Linked DNA regions of Daphnia pulex. The protein of the gene in region 1 purifies or fractionates together with the protein of each later gene. This does not show direct contact. Links are inferred from orthologs where the notes say so. Each region holds a gene or a part of one and is shown in the gene's direction. Other genes may lie near its edges.

Region 1 (3,751 bases):
GTGTTATTGATCATCTTGCCAGCAGAACGTCTGCACCACCAATTCCATTTCAGTCTACAGAGTGAGACTGATACAATTCTTTAACTCTACCCTTTTATGCATATTTACACCAATGCTCTACAGTATTGAAGGGCTATCTGACATGGAATACCGGAAGTTTGAACTCCATGGAAAATTTGAACATGACAAAGAGATTTACATTGGGCCAAGATCACTGGTTGGAAATGAAAAAAATGAAGGTGGTGGGATGTTGTCTTCAGGGCAGAGTGGCTATTTAGTCATCACTCCATTTAAACTATCAGATTCCAAGTAAGACATTCAAACAGTTAATTTTCTCAATTTTCTACAAGTTACTTTTAGTCTCACAGTTCTTGTAAACCGCGGATGGATTCCTCGTAAAAAAATGAATCCATTCACCAGACTAAATGGACAAAGAGAAGGCGAAACAAAACTGATTGGAGTGTACCGCTCTAATGAAAATCGCCCCCAGTTTGTACCCCAAAATCAGCCCAAAGACCGCATGTTTCATTTCAGGTAAAGACAATTATATTTTTCGCAAAGTTAGATAACTTCATATATATTGCGTACAGAGATGTGGAGGGAATGGCTCGGCTTCTAGACACTGCGCCAATTTTCTTTGACGCGGACGCTGATAGCACAGTACCGGATGGACCTGTAGGTGGACAAACAGTTGTTACTGTTAGAAATGAACACGTTTCGTACATTTTAACGTGGTATTCATTATCAATTATCACAGCATTTTTGTGGCATCGACGATTTATCAAGAAAATGCCTCTTATGTAACTTAAATGTATTTATCTTCATAGAGGTTAAAGTCAAATTAATACATTTTAACATCAAACATCATTATATTTTTACTCTTGTTGCGTTTTCATTTGTAAAAATAAAATTTTAATTAATAAAATTCAAAATAAAAAATAAATACAGTATCGCGAGTTTCTAGTACATCGATTATTGGCTTACCCGATATAATTATCGATACTTACCTTTGTGATCGCGTTCTCGCGTCTTTTTTGCTTTGTCCCGTCGATAATCTCGGCGATCTCTGGTAATTATTTTATGAGCCTTTGAGAAATGTGATTCAGTCTGTTTGAATACTAAACAACTCGTGAATTCCCGGTTTCAAATTGTGTGTCAAGTCAGTAAAGAAAGTTTTTATTCTAATTGAAAGAAATACGCTACGCAAGCAAACTTCTCTTCCATGGCGGACGCTTGTCGCCTTGGGCATTTTATAAGACGTTGGCATTTTTATATTAACCGAAGCCAATTTTTGTTATTTACGATTGCTTTCTTGCAATACTAGTGCTTTGTTGTGTCTAGTACATTTCATTTTATGTTTACATTTCATGAAATCACATGTATGGATGTTAGTAAACGGAAAGTCATTGTTTACAGGGTCTTTATTGCCAGGTCCTGTAGCCTGAAGGCAATACGTTTTGTGCAGTGACATTGGAAGATTTCATTGCTTTTGATGGATGATCCAAATCGACTTATGCATCCTGTTCCAGGTGGCCAGGTTGGACTAATGCATCAGCCACCGTATGGGTTACCTCCTGTCAATGTCGGAGTCAATGTTGGGGTTAACATGGCTTCACTTGATGGAGGGAACCAAGACTCTGAAAATATGACTGGACGAAAGCAGGTGTGTACAATTCCATTTCCAAAATCTTTTTTTCCTTTTAAGTAAAACTTCTTTTTTTTTAGGATATTGGAGAAATTCTGCAACAGATCATGAACATCACAGACCAGAGTCTTGATGAAGCCCAAGCACGCAAGCATACCCTGAACTGTCATCGCATGAAACCTGCTTTGTTTTCTGTCTTGTGTGAAATCAAAGAGAAAACTGGTAACCCTATTTCAATATGAATCCAAGTGATTGAATGGTAACATTAAATTGTGCTCTCACTTTAGTTTTGTCGCTACGCAACACGCAAGAAGAGGAGCCTCCAGATCCGCAACTCATGCGGTTGGATAACATGTTGATTGCTGAAGGAGTAGCTGGTCCTGAAAAAGGAGGTGGGGCCGGTGCTGCTGCCAATGCATCAGCTGCAGCGTCTCAAAGCGGCTCAATGTCGGACTCGGCTATTGAACACTCTGATTATAGGGCTAAGTTGGCACAAATTCGTCAAATTTACCATCAAGAGCTTGAGAAATATGAGCAGGTACACATTTTTAGCAATGCTTATTTTTTTATTGGACCTCTATGACAAGAAAATGGAGAATAACCATTTCATTTTTACATCCGCTTTCAGGCTTGCAGTGAATTCACCACCCATGTTATGAATTTGCTCCGAGAACAATCCCGTACTCGTCCGATTACACCCAAGGAGATTGAGCGGATGGTTCAGATCATTCATCGCAAGTTTAGCTCCATCCAAATGCAGCTGAAGCAAAGCACTTGCGAGGCCGTTATGATTTTACGATCTCGTTTCCTCGACGCCAGGTAAATTTTGCTATTTTTTTAAGGTTTGACCACGCCCATTAAAGGTGTTGTTCTATCGATGTCTTCATCATGTAGGAGGAAGCGGCGTAACTTCAGCAAACAAGCTTCTGAGATCTTGAATGAGTACTTCTACTCGCACCTAAGCAACCCCTACCCAAGTGAAGAAGCCAAAGAAGAGCTCGCTCGTAAATGTGGGATCACCGTTTCACAGGTTAATTTCTTTTTAAATCCTTTTAAGAGGAATAAGCGCATTAATGTTTTGTTATTTTTACAAAAAAGGTTTCGAATTGGTTCGGTAACAAACGAATTCGTTACAAGAAAAACATTGGAAAAGCCCAAGAGGAGGCCAACCTGTATGCTGCTAAAAAGGCCGCGGGTAGTTGTTTCCACTCTGAGGATTTTCAAATCCTCGTATTACCGGAGCGATTCTAATTTTCGTACTTTTTCTTTCTCGTTAGGTTCCTCGCCATACAGTATGGCTGGAACTCCCGGACCGATGATGTCGCCTCAACCTGGTGGTCCTGAACTCAGGGGTCCACAAGATTCCTTAGGCCCGTACGGTGCTATGGGACTCAACGGTGGTGACTTTCCTTCCTCCATGGGCGGCCAAGTAAACTACTTTTAATGACTTAACTAGTGGTATCTCAGCATATTAATTAATGTAAACGTGTTTGTAGGGCTATGGCGATTCATCGATGGGTTATGATCCAAGTATGCATCAAGTGAATTCACCCTGAGGGGTGGACGAGTGCCCCTTCTCCTCCTCCACCCTATTTCTCGGCAAATCAACTCTTAATTTACTAACTTCATCAGATCTTGATCATACTGTGCGTTACAAGCTATCTTCAGCTGTTCGATTAACTCGTTCTAACCCATCTCGTACTCCTTCTTTTGTCCCTTCCTCTCAGTGCAGCTTTGTTGTTTCGTCTTGATAGAAAATGTTTCTGTGGATCACCTCGATCGGTGCTTGTTTTTTCTCATTTGTTTCAGAAACCTCTGTAGTTTTAATCGCTTTTGCGTATAGTTGAAACCGTCGATGTAGTCGTTATCGTTTTTATTTGACAACTAGAAGTGAACCGAACATCTCCGATTACAATCACGTACGCTCTCCCGTCACCGAAAAAACGATCATCAGTATTCTCGAAAATCCACATCCCACGGACCCGAGTCCTATTTCTAAAAAAACAAAAAAAACACAAGAATTCCCATCAAGTTTGCGTTTTAACTGAAAAAAAATACTTTTCTTTTGATATGGTGGTGGAACCGAATGCAATTTTTGGTATTAGA
Region 2 (3,751 bases), on another chromosome or scaffold:
GCCCACAAAACAAAAGACGACTCACAGGTGGCGTGTGAAATGACACCAGTCCACGTCCAAACACATCATCATCATCTCTACCGCGGCCAAGCGAATTGCTGTTTGTCTTGTTGTCTTACCTGAGATTTTCGCCTGCAAAACCGGCAGCTCCCCCGAGAGATGATTTCTCCATTCCACGTCGTCGTCGTCGTCATTTCCCCATTGATGAAAACCACCACGACGCTCACTTGTAATGGAAAAGGCTGGCCGAGTTGACTGACAGCTCTTCCGTGTACCTCGCAATGACGCCACACACCAACAAAGACAACCTGCAATTCAAAAATTCCAAATTTCAAATTCCGACAAATCAAATATAAAAAAAGAAAAAAAAAAATGTGCGACATGTCATTTTCGGCCTTGCACACACACAGTAAGGCTCTCATATCTTCTTCTTCCTCCTCAGTGTGTGTGTGTGTGTGTGTGTGTTGGCTATATAAGCCGGCCACCAAGACCGCAGTGGCTCGGGCCACCTTTTATGGGAGCGGAGCAGAGAGAGCGCAGCGCGAGAGCATCAATAACTCGTCGCAATGGCCCATCCATCGTGCCACCACCCAGCCCTCTGTCATTAACGTGTCGGAAAAACCCCAGCAGTCGCCAGAGCGATCATCATGATCTATTTCACAAACGTTTAGGCATGATTTGTAACATTTATATTCCATCTCTCTTTCTCTCCCTGTGTGTCTGCTGACTGCCTTTCCGCAGATAATAGAAAACATCAAACATTTCCACCGACATTGCTCTCCAATTGATAATTCAAATCAAAAATAAAATTCACGCTTCCTCAACGGCCTTTTATCTTTCAAATTTTTGCATCGACCGTTTCTACAAACAATTCCAGAAAAATATAAACAGATAGAAACATCAATCCACTTCTTCGGTGGAAAAAAAAACGGAGAAAAATGTTCCGAGTCTTTCTCTTTTCTCGTCACGGTGTTTCGCTTCTTGTAATCATAGCGAGTCCCTTAGAAAAAAAAAAGATATAAACCATCGTGCGATGCACCATAGTCCCGCGCGGCGTAGGAGAGAAGAGCTACTCCACGACAGGGCGGTACACTCGGTGCGGCCATAGTCTCTCATGTGCTGTATAGAGACGCATACACACACAGACAGACACACTCGAGCTTGTCAAGGAGGGAAGGGAAGGAAATTGAGGCGTTGCTCGCGAGCAGCTCCCAATCGGCGACCCAATTGGTCGGCTGGCGCTAGTCACGTGACTCGGAGGGGAGGTCCTCTAGCGAGTCGAGCCAGTAGGCAGGCCTCCTTTCTCTCTACTATTATACACATCCACCCGTGTGTGTGTGTTGTGTGTGTGCATGTGTGTAGAGAGCCGAGTTTGCCCGTGTTCCTGCCCGCCTCGCACTGCAGTAACAACCAAACACCCACCCCATTTCCCCACCGAAGGAAAAAAGAAAAGAAGAAGAAAAAAAATACTGGCTGCTGGCCTGGCCCATCACGGCTGTTGGCATCTAGTACTCGGTCGTCGTAGTGTAACACGTACAGAGCCACGAGATAGAGAGACTTGACTAGAGTTCCGCCAACTATTTTTGTTTGTTTTTTCTAACCCTATGCCATCCGCTTCAAACTGACCAAACATTTTACTTCAATTCAAAAAGGCAAGAATTGCGCACACACACAAGTTGCGTCTTTTTGGCGACAAAATCAGATGAGGATTCGCTTCTTCTAGAGAGTGCGATGAGCCCGACCATCGGACTAACCATCCCACCACCACCGCTACTTCAATCTTGTTGTTGCCCGTGTCGTGGCCGCCGTTCAACAACCAAAATTTCGCAGTGAAAAAGCCAATTTCTTTTTGATTTGTTTCATTTCCCCCAGTTTGCCCCAGTCAACAATTTCGGTTTCTATATGAAGTGAGCAGTGTCGTCATTGGTGCAGCCCAAAAGTGTGAGAGTGACCCCTAATTTACAGTGTCAGGACGACAGATGATGTTACGTCATTGAGACGAGAACTCGATCAAAAGTGGACAAAAACAAAATTGGAATTTTGGGTTTCCTTTTTTGAATTTGAAAAAATCAAATTAAAAGACAAGAAACAAAACAAACAAACAAAAGATGAACGCCAACGTTCTTTACGGTGTTTGCAACGGTGACGGAGGCGTCGGCGTCGGTTACGGATCAGCGTCAAACTACGCGACAGATTTGGCCGGATCCGTCTACGGAGGAGTCTACGGAAGCGGATCCGTCAGTTCAAACAGCGGCGGAGGTTCGTCGGGCCAGGCCTCGACCCCGGAATCGAGCGGCCCGACGGGCGGCAGTGTTTTGGGCTCCGTCGGCCCGCCGCACTACCTGAGCCACCAGCAGCAGCAGACGCCCGATCCGCGAACGCCTCCGCTGACTCCGCACGATCAGCACACAAATTCCGGTTTGCTCCAGTCGGGAGACGTCGGCGGAGGCTCGGGAAACGGCCTCTCCTACACCAATTTGGACGCCAACGGATACGCCACGGCGGCCGCAGCTGCAGCGGCCGCTGCCGCCGCCACAGCCGCCGCCGCCTCCTACCACCTGAGCCCGCACAGCGTGGGGACGGGCATGGGCCAGCATTCGATATCTTCAGTGTCCGTCGGTAACAGCAGTGCCTACCAAACGGATTATTCCGGCCAGCACCACGGTTCGCCCAACCAGCAGCAGCAGCAGCAACATCATCAGCAATTGCACCAGCAGCAACAACAGCAACAACAGCACCACCACGCCCAGCACCAGCACGGAATACAACAGCAGCAACAGCAGCAGCAACAACATCACCACCATCAACAGCAACAACAACAACACCACCAGGTTCATCACCAGAGTCATCACGGACACCCACACCATCACCACTCTGTGCACCACGGGCATCATCAAGTCCATCCGGCCATGACGGGTCATGGCGTCGTGGTGGACGGCACCGTCGGAATCAACGGCCTATCAGCGGCGGCCGTCGCCATTCCCACGGGAGCGACGGCAGGTTACGGCTACCCGGACGTGACCCAGTACGGAGCCCGCGTCACACATCCAGCAGCCGCGGCGGCTGGCCATTTCGGCTCCTCCGTGGGACCGTACGGCGTCGGCGTCGGCGGGCCATCGCTGCGAGATCAATGCCAGGTCAACGGCATGCTCAACCTGGTTGGACTGGGAGCGGCCGCCGCGGCCGCTGCCCAGCACCCCGGCCAGCATCACAATCAACTCCAGGGGCAAAGTGGTGCAAGTGGCGGCGGAGGCAACGGCGGAGGAGTCCAGCCCAATCTCAACCACCCCGTCCAGCAACAACAGCAGTCCAACGTTCCCACCTACAAATGGATGCAAGTCAAACGGAATGTACCCAAACCTGGTACGTTTCTTTTTTAATCCATTCAATCATTGCATCCATTTGTTATTCCCAGCCAGAAATCTCACTAGGCCTATCATTTCTTTGAATGCCATCAACTTTGATTCGAGGCCTATCATTCATAGTTAAGATTGACCCCGACGGTCAAAATGAACCAAATCTTCAGCATCATTTGATTGTAGTCGAGTTAACTAGTTCAGACAAAAAGAAGGAGGATACAGCTCTAGATTCGAATCATTTAAAGAAAAATGGGTGCGGTCGGCGGTAGTCATGATCGCCTAGAAACGTTGGCCGCCCAAAAGGAAATAAAAAAGATGAAAGATGAGGAAGCCGCCAATCGGTCCCTGTAGGCCGGTCGTAAAAATAAGGAAAAACGGCCGCTCTCCTCTTT

The links. The genes of interacting proteins can lie anywhere in the genome.
Region 2: the proteins of homeobox protein extradenticle-like (region 1) and homeobox protein Hox-B1a-like fractionate together in Drosophila melanogaster (co-fractionation; 5 studies listed by BioGRID). This does not show direct contact. The link is inferred for Daphnia pulex from reciprocal best matches to the Drosophila melanogaster genes exd and lab.

The regions. Positions count from the first base shown.
Region 1 is NC_060023.1:11,356,444-11,360,194, forward strand, and holds the start of homeobox protein extradenticle-like, read left to right. Parts: upstream 1-982; 5' UTR 983-1,069; exon of another isoform or gene 1,070-1,159; intron 1,160-1,416; 5' UTR 1,417-1,492; coding exon 1,493-1,663; intron 1,664-1,725; coding exon 1,726-1,867; intron 1,868-1,932; coding exon 1,933-2,183; intron 2,184-2,273; coding exon 2,274-2,464; intron 2,465-2,539; coding exon 2,540-2,675; intron 2,676-2,743; coding exon 2,744-2,843; intron 2,844-2,922; coding exon 2,923-3,074; intron 3,075-3,141; coding exon 3,142-3,201; 3' UTR 3,202-3,751. Other genes in the region: surfeit locus protein 1-like, read left to right, coding at 1-61, 124-309, 361-534, 591-804. UniProt on the Drosophila melanogaster protein: Transcription factor which acts with the selector homeodomain proteins altering the regulation of downstream target genes such as wingless (wg), teashirt (tsh) and decapentaplegic (dpp), thus affecting segmental identity.
Region 2 is NC_060024.1:12,526,741-12,530,491, forward strand, and holds the start of homeobox protein Hox-B1a-like, read left to right. Parts: upstream 1-1,347; 5' UTR 1,348-2,108; coding exon 2,109-3,363; intron 3,364-3,751. UniProt on the Drosophila melanogaster protein: Sequence-specific transcription factor which is part of a developmental regulatory system that provides cells with specific positional identities on the anterior-posterior axis. Required for proper head development.